Linked DNA regions of Cricetulus griseus. The protein of the gene in region 2 purifies or fractionates together with the protein of the main gene of each other region. This does not show direct contact. Links are inferred from orthologs where the notes say so. Each region holds a gene or a part of one and is shown on either strand. Other genes may lie near its edges.

The links.
Region 1: the proteins of Notch2 (region 2) and Dll1 purify together in Homo sapiens (affinity purification with western blotting; 3 studies listed by BioGRID). This does not show direct contact. The link is inferred for Cricetulus griseus from reciprocal best matches to the Homo sapiens genes NOTCH2 and DLL1.

Annotation. Positions count from the first base shown.
Region 1 is NC_048595.1:294,338,751-294,343,052, forward strand, and holds the start of Dll1 (delta-like protein 1), read right to left. Parts: upstream 3,084-4,302; coding exon 3,030-3,083; intron 2,803-3,029; coding exon 2,509-2,802; intron 1,900-2,508; coding exon 1,839-1,899; intron 1,642-1,838; coding exon 1,384-1,641; intron 1-1,383. UniProt on the Homo sapiens protein: Transmembrane ligand protein of NOTCH1, NOTCH2 and NOTCH3 receptors that binds the extracellular domain (ECD) of Notch receptor in a cis and trans fashion manner.
Region 2 is NW_023276806.1:58,331,661-58,335,630, forward strand, and holds the end of Notch2 (neurogenic locus notch homolog protein 2), read right to left. Parts: coding exon 3,716-3,970; 3' UTR 751-3,715; downstream 1-750. UniProt on the Homo sapiens protein: Functions as a receptor for membrane-bound ligands Jagged-1 (JAG1), Jagged-2 (JAG2) and Delta-1 (DLL1) to regulate cell-fate determination.

The DNA.
Region 1 (4,302 bases), on a different chromosome or scaffold from region 2:
CAGCTGCCCCAGCACAACAATGCTGCCCCCACCCAACCCCCAGCCTGAGCATGTGTGTATGCACTCACATAAGCGCGTGTGTGCACATACCCTTCTACCAATGGGAACAGACAGTGTCCCTACCGCCTATCCTCAGAGAGATCTAATCTATGGCACGTGTAAGCAAGGGCGGGGAGAAACCCCAGCGTTTGAATAAGAAGAAAAGTTTATATTTCTGGCTACCCCAGAACCATTGGCCCCTAGAGAGGAAAGTTACAGTGGGAGGCCAGAGAGCCTGAAGATGGGGGGGTGGGGGGCATAGGCTGGAGCTTTGAGCTGGCTCACTTCCCTGGTTATGAAACTCATTAATGATCAGCAACTCCAGCTCTTAAGAAAACATACAGCTCTGGCCAAGGCGGGCCATCAAAGGAGCTCCAAAGCCCTCAAGGATATGGGAAACTAAGCAACAATGACATTCAGGTTCTCACTGGAGTGAGGACCCCTTCATCCTCAAGCAAAAACTAAATCTAGAAAGCTGCTCCATATCCTCCTCTAGGCACTGACAGAGAGGTTCTGGGCCTCACAGAGTCCAATGTTCAACTGCTCCAGGGCAGGAGAACAAAAGTTCACCAAGCCCTGACTGGAAGGAAATGCCATTCCTACAGGTTGAACAGCTGAGGCCTCAGAGAGCTGGAGGGTGGCCCACTGAGGTCCTTGAAAACCAGAAGTAGAGCCGGAGTCCTCCCTATGGCCCTGATCCCCTGGTTTGCAAGAGCATTACAGGACATCAGTTACTGCATTTCTTTACAGACTGTGCTATGAGCATTTAGACCACATGCCAGGTGCCTTTCACCCCGTGGCCCTGCTCTGTGCCTCACTCAGCCCACCTGCCAGCTTCCTGCCACCCAAAGGACTGAAGACTTCCCTACAGGACACTCAGGGTTCAACACAGGGGATCTTTGGAAATGGGTTACTCTGTGGGCAGGTCAGGCACCCTAACTCTGAGGAGGAAAGGGAGGGTTTCCCAAAGAGACATTGTCACAGCAAGGAGAACTGTTGGAAAATGAGCCCTCCACATCCCCTCTCTGTCCCTCCCTTCCTTCCTCCCTTCCCTTTCTAATACAAAGGCCCTAGGGAGAGCACAGCCTTACTTCCTGACCCCTGGCCTTGTCTCTGAACTCCTCCCTGTGAAGAAAAGCAGCTTCCTACAGTGGATACAAGGTCTCCCTTGTTAAAATGCCTGAGTTGAGCCTAACTCTGCCACTGCCCACAAGACCTTAGCAAGACACTTCTGCTCTTTAGGCCTCAGTTTCCCCACTGAGCCATCTGTGCCATCCCCTGTTGCTAAGTCCTGTGTCTTTCCCCATACATGGACCCTTAGGAGTCATCCTCCTGAGGACTCACGTTGAGTGCAGTACTGGCCTTTCCAGCCAGGGTCGCACACCTTCTCCCCTCTCTCCCCGCAGGTGAAGTGGCCAAAGGCATCGTCTCGAGGTCGGCAGAACACAGAGCAACCTTCTCCGTAGTAGTGTTCATCACACACAAAACGGTAAGAGTACCGGAGGTCTGTGCGACCGCTACTGTGAAGGTCCTGAGACCACTCCTCTCCCACAGTCAGGTGCCTCTGCGTGGTCAGGCGGCTGATGAGCCTTTCTGGATTTTCTGAGAGAGAAGATGCTCAGGTTGGTTCTGATAACACTCAGAGCCCGGGAACAGAGGGAGTGGTGGGGATGCTGTCAACATGGATTGGACTCTGAACTCCAGGTGCAGAATGAAGGCATCAGAGGACTTGGGTGAGTGGGCAAAATAGAATGTGTATCAACAAGGAGTTTGCACGGTTTTCAGGTTTGGAGACTTACCTGTTGCGAGGTCATCCGGAGAATCTGTGTGCAGGGCTTCAATGATCAGAGAGAAGGTACCCTGGGAAAAGGGGGAGACGGTGCATGATAAACCACAAGTGTGGAGGAGGAAGGGGAGGTGCCAGAGAGGGTCAATTCCTAACACTTTCCTTAAGAAAACAGAATAATTTTAGAGTTTTTCCCGTGTGTGCTTTCTCTTTAATATGTTAATACATAATATTGTGTTTGTTTTAAAGGGGTGAGAGTACTGAGCCAACAAGGTAGGGGTGGTGGAAGAGGAGAGGATGGTCTGTGTCTGTCATTAGTTTTCTGGGGCTGGAACCTCGAGGGTGGAGAGCACTGCTCTAGTAGTGACACAATCAGGCCTGGGAGCTATGGAACAAGAACTCTCCCAATCTTGAGGGGAAGGGAGAAGCTTTAGACCCTCCAGATAAGAACAGAGATGTGTGAGAAAATGCCTTGGGCTTGCCAAGGCTTCTGGTGCTCCATATTCCCTCCTCAACCTCCAGAGACTGCAGGTCAATTCCGGGGAAGAAGTCAAGACCACAGGCGTGTGTTTGTGGGATTCTCCAACCCTTATCAGTGGCCACTGCCTTCCTCCCGCTGCCAGCCACCCGCCCGCCACCCTACCCCTCCAGGCACAGCCGGGTGCGCGCAGGTGCCCACTCACTGGCCAGGTGAAGCCGAAGGGGAAACGGATGGGGTTGCTGAAGGCAGGGTCGATGCCTGCGCCGTCAGGCAGACTGAAGGAGTCGACACCCAGCACTGGCGTGACCGCGCTGCCGTAGGTGCAGGGTGGCTCCGGGGACACGCTGGCCTGATAATGCTTGAGGCATACACGGAAGAAGGTCCTGCAGGCGCACGGCGGGCCTGAGCCCCCGCGGCAGCAGTTGCGGTTCCCCAGCAGCCCCTTCTTGTTGACGAACTCCTGCAGCTTCAGCTCAAATACGCCAGAGCTCCAGACCTGCGCAGGGAAGGGGCGTGAGGACGCACTGGCGGCGGAGGGGCCCGGGGCGCGCGGGCCCTTGCTAGGACGCAGAGGCCGAGCGCACCGCAGCGCCCGTCCGGAGCCGCCCGCTGCCGGGCAGCTCTCGGGGGTCGTAGCTGCCGGAGTCAGTTGGGGATGGACAGCTGATCAGCTCGTCCGGCTCCCCTCCCTCCACCGCGCAGCAGCCCCGCCCGGCCCCCTACCTGGCACAGCAGGGCCGAGACCACAGCAAGGGCTAGCGCGCTCCGACGGCCCATGGTACCGCTGGACGCCCTTGCTCTCCTAGAGTATCCTCTTTTCTCTCTTCTTCAAAGACCCAGGAATGCCAGGAAAGTCTATGTGAGCCGAGGAGCTCCGGGGAAAAGGCGTCTCTCGACTCCAGGTGTGGTAACCAGAGCCAGTTGCTTAAAGAGGGTGCGGTGCTTCAGATACGTCCCTGACAGAGCTCTGCGAGGCACTGAGAAAGGGCAACTTTCGGTTTCCTCTTCTGGCTTTCAGTCCACGAGTAGGTGAGGGTCGCCGGCTTTCTGGTTTTGTCTTAAGCTTCTTCGCGGAGGGAAAGGAGGAGAAAGGAGAGAAGACACAGAGGAAAGAGAGTCCAGATGTTCAGCTTAATTCCCAAGAGAGCTTGCAGTGGCTTCCTTCAGAGGCCTATTAGAGAGCGGCGGTCTGGAAATCCCACCGGTGAGGCGATAATCCGGGGCCCCGAGGGGCGCGGTGGGATCGGACGGCGGTGGTGGCAAGAACTGCGGCGCGCGCCCTGCTTTCCCTCCCGGCCGGGCGTCACTCGGCGGCCGCTGCCGCTCCCAGAGTGTTCTGGACCGGTATCTCTTGCGCCACCGCAAAGCCTCGCGTCTTCCCCAAGAATTCAGCCAATGCCATGCGAGAACACACACCCAGGACCGGAGGCCGAAGCGTGGGAGGCTCCGTGCCGCACCGGTGCTCTCCCGTGACCTGCCTCGGTCAGACAGGGTAACCGCGGGTGCACGCCGGAGGATCTGGCCGAGGCAGGAGCCTGCCGCCCTTAAATCCCGCCGGCCGCTCGCATAACTAATGAGATGCAAATGAGCAGCCCCCCAATCTGGCGAGAGCTGTCACAAAGGAGCCACTTTTCCAAACCCTCCTCTCAATGGATCGCCAAATGGTCAGTGAGCTGTAAAATGTGCAACCCTCCTCCCCGCCCCCACCTCCCCGCCCCCTAGTCCTCTCTGCCTCCGCCCTCGCCCCTTCGCCTCCCTCCCCCAGCGCAAAACCCGCTCATTTACATTCCTGCAAAATGTTCGCTGCGACGAAAGGCTCTGCTCCTGGAGCTGGAGCTGACGCCGCGTCTCCCACCGCCAAAGGCCGGAAGACCCTAGGCACGCTGGGCGGCCTGCGCCTCCCACCCGCGGTCACCGCTAGTCTGGCGCGCAGGACACGGCCTCCGGACACTCGCGTCTCCCACGCTGGCCGCCTAAGCTCTCCTCGGTTGTTCTG
Region 2 (3,970 bases):
AGTTTTCTCTGTACACCAATATAAAACCCACATGGAGGCCAATGTTTTATGTATGATTATAATACTTAGGAAGTAACTGTGAAGACCTGACACCTACTTAACCAAAGCAACTCCCAAAGTTTTTAATCAAGTCATTTGGAAAAAAAAACCCTATTATTATTTGCAAATAAATAATGCCCACATGATTTAGAAGTATGTATAAAACAATAGAATATGGAAATAAGCTAGATGTTAGGGTTGCTATGAGGCTACTGATGTCACAACTGCATCACCACCAAGTACTCATGTCTCATTGAAAAATCAATGTACTTGTTAATGCATTTGTGCTCCAGTATTATTTTATAATCCTATATATTATATCCTATATGAAAGTCCATATAAACCATCAGGTTTGGATAAATGCATCAGTAGATTTTTCTATCCCAATTCCCAACTCTTGCTTCAGCAAACATTCTCTACTTCACTGGGAGGTACCTGGTCCTGAGTATTTGTCTGCTGGCCACCAGCTGTGGTTAAGGTGTGTAAAGTGACTCAATGTTATAATGTTCTGAACTAAAGGGAATGGGAACCTTCCCTTCAGAAGCATTTATTTACGATCAAACTAAACGAGAAAAATAAAAGAACCCCAGTACCAGGCTTTTTAAGATTCCGGAAGAAGAAAATTAAGTTTCTTTCACCAACTATGACCTCATGAGACGATCACGGTAGAACAAAGCACCAGAGTCGGAAAAGAGTGGAGCATGATTTCACTGAGCCTTGACATGGAACCTTTTTTTATTTTTTGATAAAAATGTTTTCATATAAATTTCATCTTAAACTACTTGTAGAATGAAAATTTTTAAAAGTAAAAACAGTACGCATTTTCCTTCCTATGTTTATAGTCAGGAGCATGCAGTCATTTTCTGGTTACTGAGTTTCTCATACAAACAGATATAATGTCACTTTTCAGGGAAATGTACACAAGGAAGTTGCCATAGTACCAAAATAGTTATGGGTGGGGGCCTCAGGACATAGACATGTGTCCTTCCAAATAGTCCTCATACATTCAAGGCGCTGGTTCAAGTCTAGGTTCTGAAACCACACGCTAACAGACCTTATTACACCTTTGGTTCTTTTCTATGCAAGGCTTTCGAGCGACCAAGTTCAATCAAGTGCTGTGGCAGACCTGTGCTGAAGCCTTTCATTGAAATCTTTAACTCAGTCTCTTTCCTTCAATTCCCCCACCATCACATAAGTCAGAAAACAATGCTTAAAACAAAAAAAAGAACAAATTAAAAAAATTCTCAAAGGCATGTGGAAGTCAAAGGAAGGAAGAATTCATGGAAATAAAAATAAATCCAAAACAGGGGTCTATGCATGGACTAAAGGATATGTCCTATAAGAACCTAACCTCTGATTCAGACCCCATGAGAAAGGGGTTATGCACCCCTCCCTTTCCTAAACACCTACATAGGTCAAGAGTTCTAACATCTACAGCATGGGCCAGACGTATAATTGGCAGTGTTGTCCTCATCTCTGTAGCCCGTTGTCTGTAATGGCAGCTTCTACATCCCTCCTCCTAAACCCTAAAGATCTACTTTGAGAGATCCTGGAGGGAGAAACAGCAAATTTGTTCTCCGTTGTGTCTGGGGAAGGACCAGGGTATTACAGACCCAGTGCCTGGCTTAGAGGCTGTTCCCAGGCAGTGGCACTAGAGCTGGGGGCAGAGAGGTCCATACACACACAGGCTCTCTTAATCTGGGACTGTCCATGGGGAGACAGTCACCATTTAGGGCAGTAAAATGTCTGCACACCATGAAAAGGGCTGGTAGGATGATGTTACCTCATGTGAATAAAACCAAATGACCAAATGTAATCTGCCATAGACCAGGACGGAACAAATTGTTTTTGTTGATTGAATGAACTTGGATGGGACTAAAAAATCCCCATTTGTTTTTATAGACTACCATGGTAACAGACACAGAGTTACTACAGGGGTTCACAAACTGACAAATGAGTGGGGGACACTTATTTCAACTACTCCAGAAATAAAGACTATTGCTAAAACAACAACAACAACAAAACCTAAAACAAACAAACAAGCAACCCCCCCCCCAGGTAATCTACCTACTAATATACACAAAGGCTTCAGCAGAACTCATTTTTTTTGTGTCATGGGCATCCCGGCACCAGGGGGAAGTGATGAGATGACCACACGGCCAATTATTAACTGACTGAAGGGGTAGATGGAGAAAACCACCGTCCTAGTTTTACATCTGACAAAGGCCACTGAGACCACAATACAAGAAGCAGGTTTGGATGAGGTACAATCTTAATCTGAACACAAGGACAATGCAGAGCAAGTCTCAGCCATCATCAGCTGAAGGTGACTCTAGAGAAAGAAGAAAATGAAGCAAAGACGAGCAAAGACTGCTTCATCACGTGTGCTCAGGGGACTGTCCATTCTCCACTTCTGCAACCCAGACACAGATCCCATGTCTTTACTGAGAACTGTGTGTACCAATGACTCAGATCACACAGTGTGGAGGGAAACGGATAAACCAGCCTCTGGCCTCGAAGAAAACTGGTCATAAGGAAGGTGACAGTCATTGAGTCCCCCGAGCCTCAGGCAAGCTCGGTCCTAAGTGGCAATCTCTGAGGATCAGTGCAGCAGCCAAGAGTCCCTTCATCTGCTGGATCAATGAGTCCCAGAATTTGGGGATGAATGTGCTTCACAGTGGCAGTCAGTGGAGGGCCTGCAGGTGGGCAATTGCTTCTTGAGCCAGTTAGCTTATCTCTTGGTCATTCCAACATTCTCCTACTTTTCCTGCTTTACAACACAATGGGAGTATCATAGTACCCAGGTCTCCTAGAGTACACGTTTATACTGAATAGGCCAACACACAGAAGAACAATTTATATCCTCCCCCTGGTGAGTGCATATGGGGCCCCACACCTACATGCGGGGGAAGAGAATTAAGGTGCAGGTTCTGAAGGGGTCTCCTATCCCCCAAATATCTTGCTTTCTCCTTCCTTTCAGGAATGAAAGATGAAGACTGCAGTGTGTGCATTTCCATAGAAGCATACTTCAAAGGCCGAGGCTGTGAACCATAACCAGAGTAAACCCTGTGAGGCTCCTTTGGGGTAGTGGGCATGTGGGGACAGAGGCTGGAGTTGTTTTCCAGGGCAGGAATGATTAAAAGCACAAAAGTCTTGCCTATTACACACTGATGGGGATCAACCACAGACAGGTGCAGAGAGGACAGCACCAAGTGAAGTCAAGGCCAATTCCAGGGTTGAGAAGATAAGACAGGTGGACCTGGGCAGAATCCCAGGCACAATTCCCAGTCTGACTCCCAGCAGAATCTCCTCCTGGATACAGAAGCCCCCAGGGCTTAAAATGATGTTCAAGCTGCAAGAATGTCTGGCTATAAAAGGCCTCCATCGTATTCTCCAAAAAGAAGAGAGTGAGCCTCTTTGTATTCATCTCGCATCTCCATGATCTCGCCCGATGGTCACAGGTTAGTAGGAGCTGAGTCCGCCTCTAAAAGTGCACAGATATTCAGTAAAGATGAATACGATGCTTCTCTCGCTTGTCGGAAAGTTGGGAGCATCTTCTCTCCTGCCTCCAAAAGCTGGTTACAGAGGTTTCTTCATTTCTCTTCGGATAACCTTCATTTGTTCCTCAGCAGCATGTACGATAAGCACTTTCATCTCTATGCCTGAGGCAGACTCTTCACGCATAAACCTGCATGTTGCTGTGTGGTGGCTCAGACATGTGTGTTCCAGGCCCCCGCTGACCTCCTCCTACACCTCCAGGAGTAGGGCTGGTGGTCACATCTGACCAGTCAGAAGCAGAGTGGGGGGAAGAGCTTGACCATTGGTCAGGAGACTCTGGGGATGGTGTCAGGTAGGGATGCTCACCCTGGAGGTGACCGCCGTGACTGGGGGTTCGCTCAGCAGCATTTGAGGAGGCATAGCTGTGCTGGGA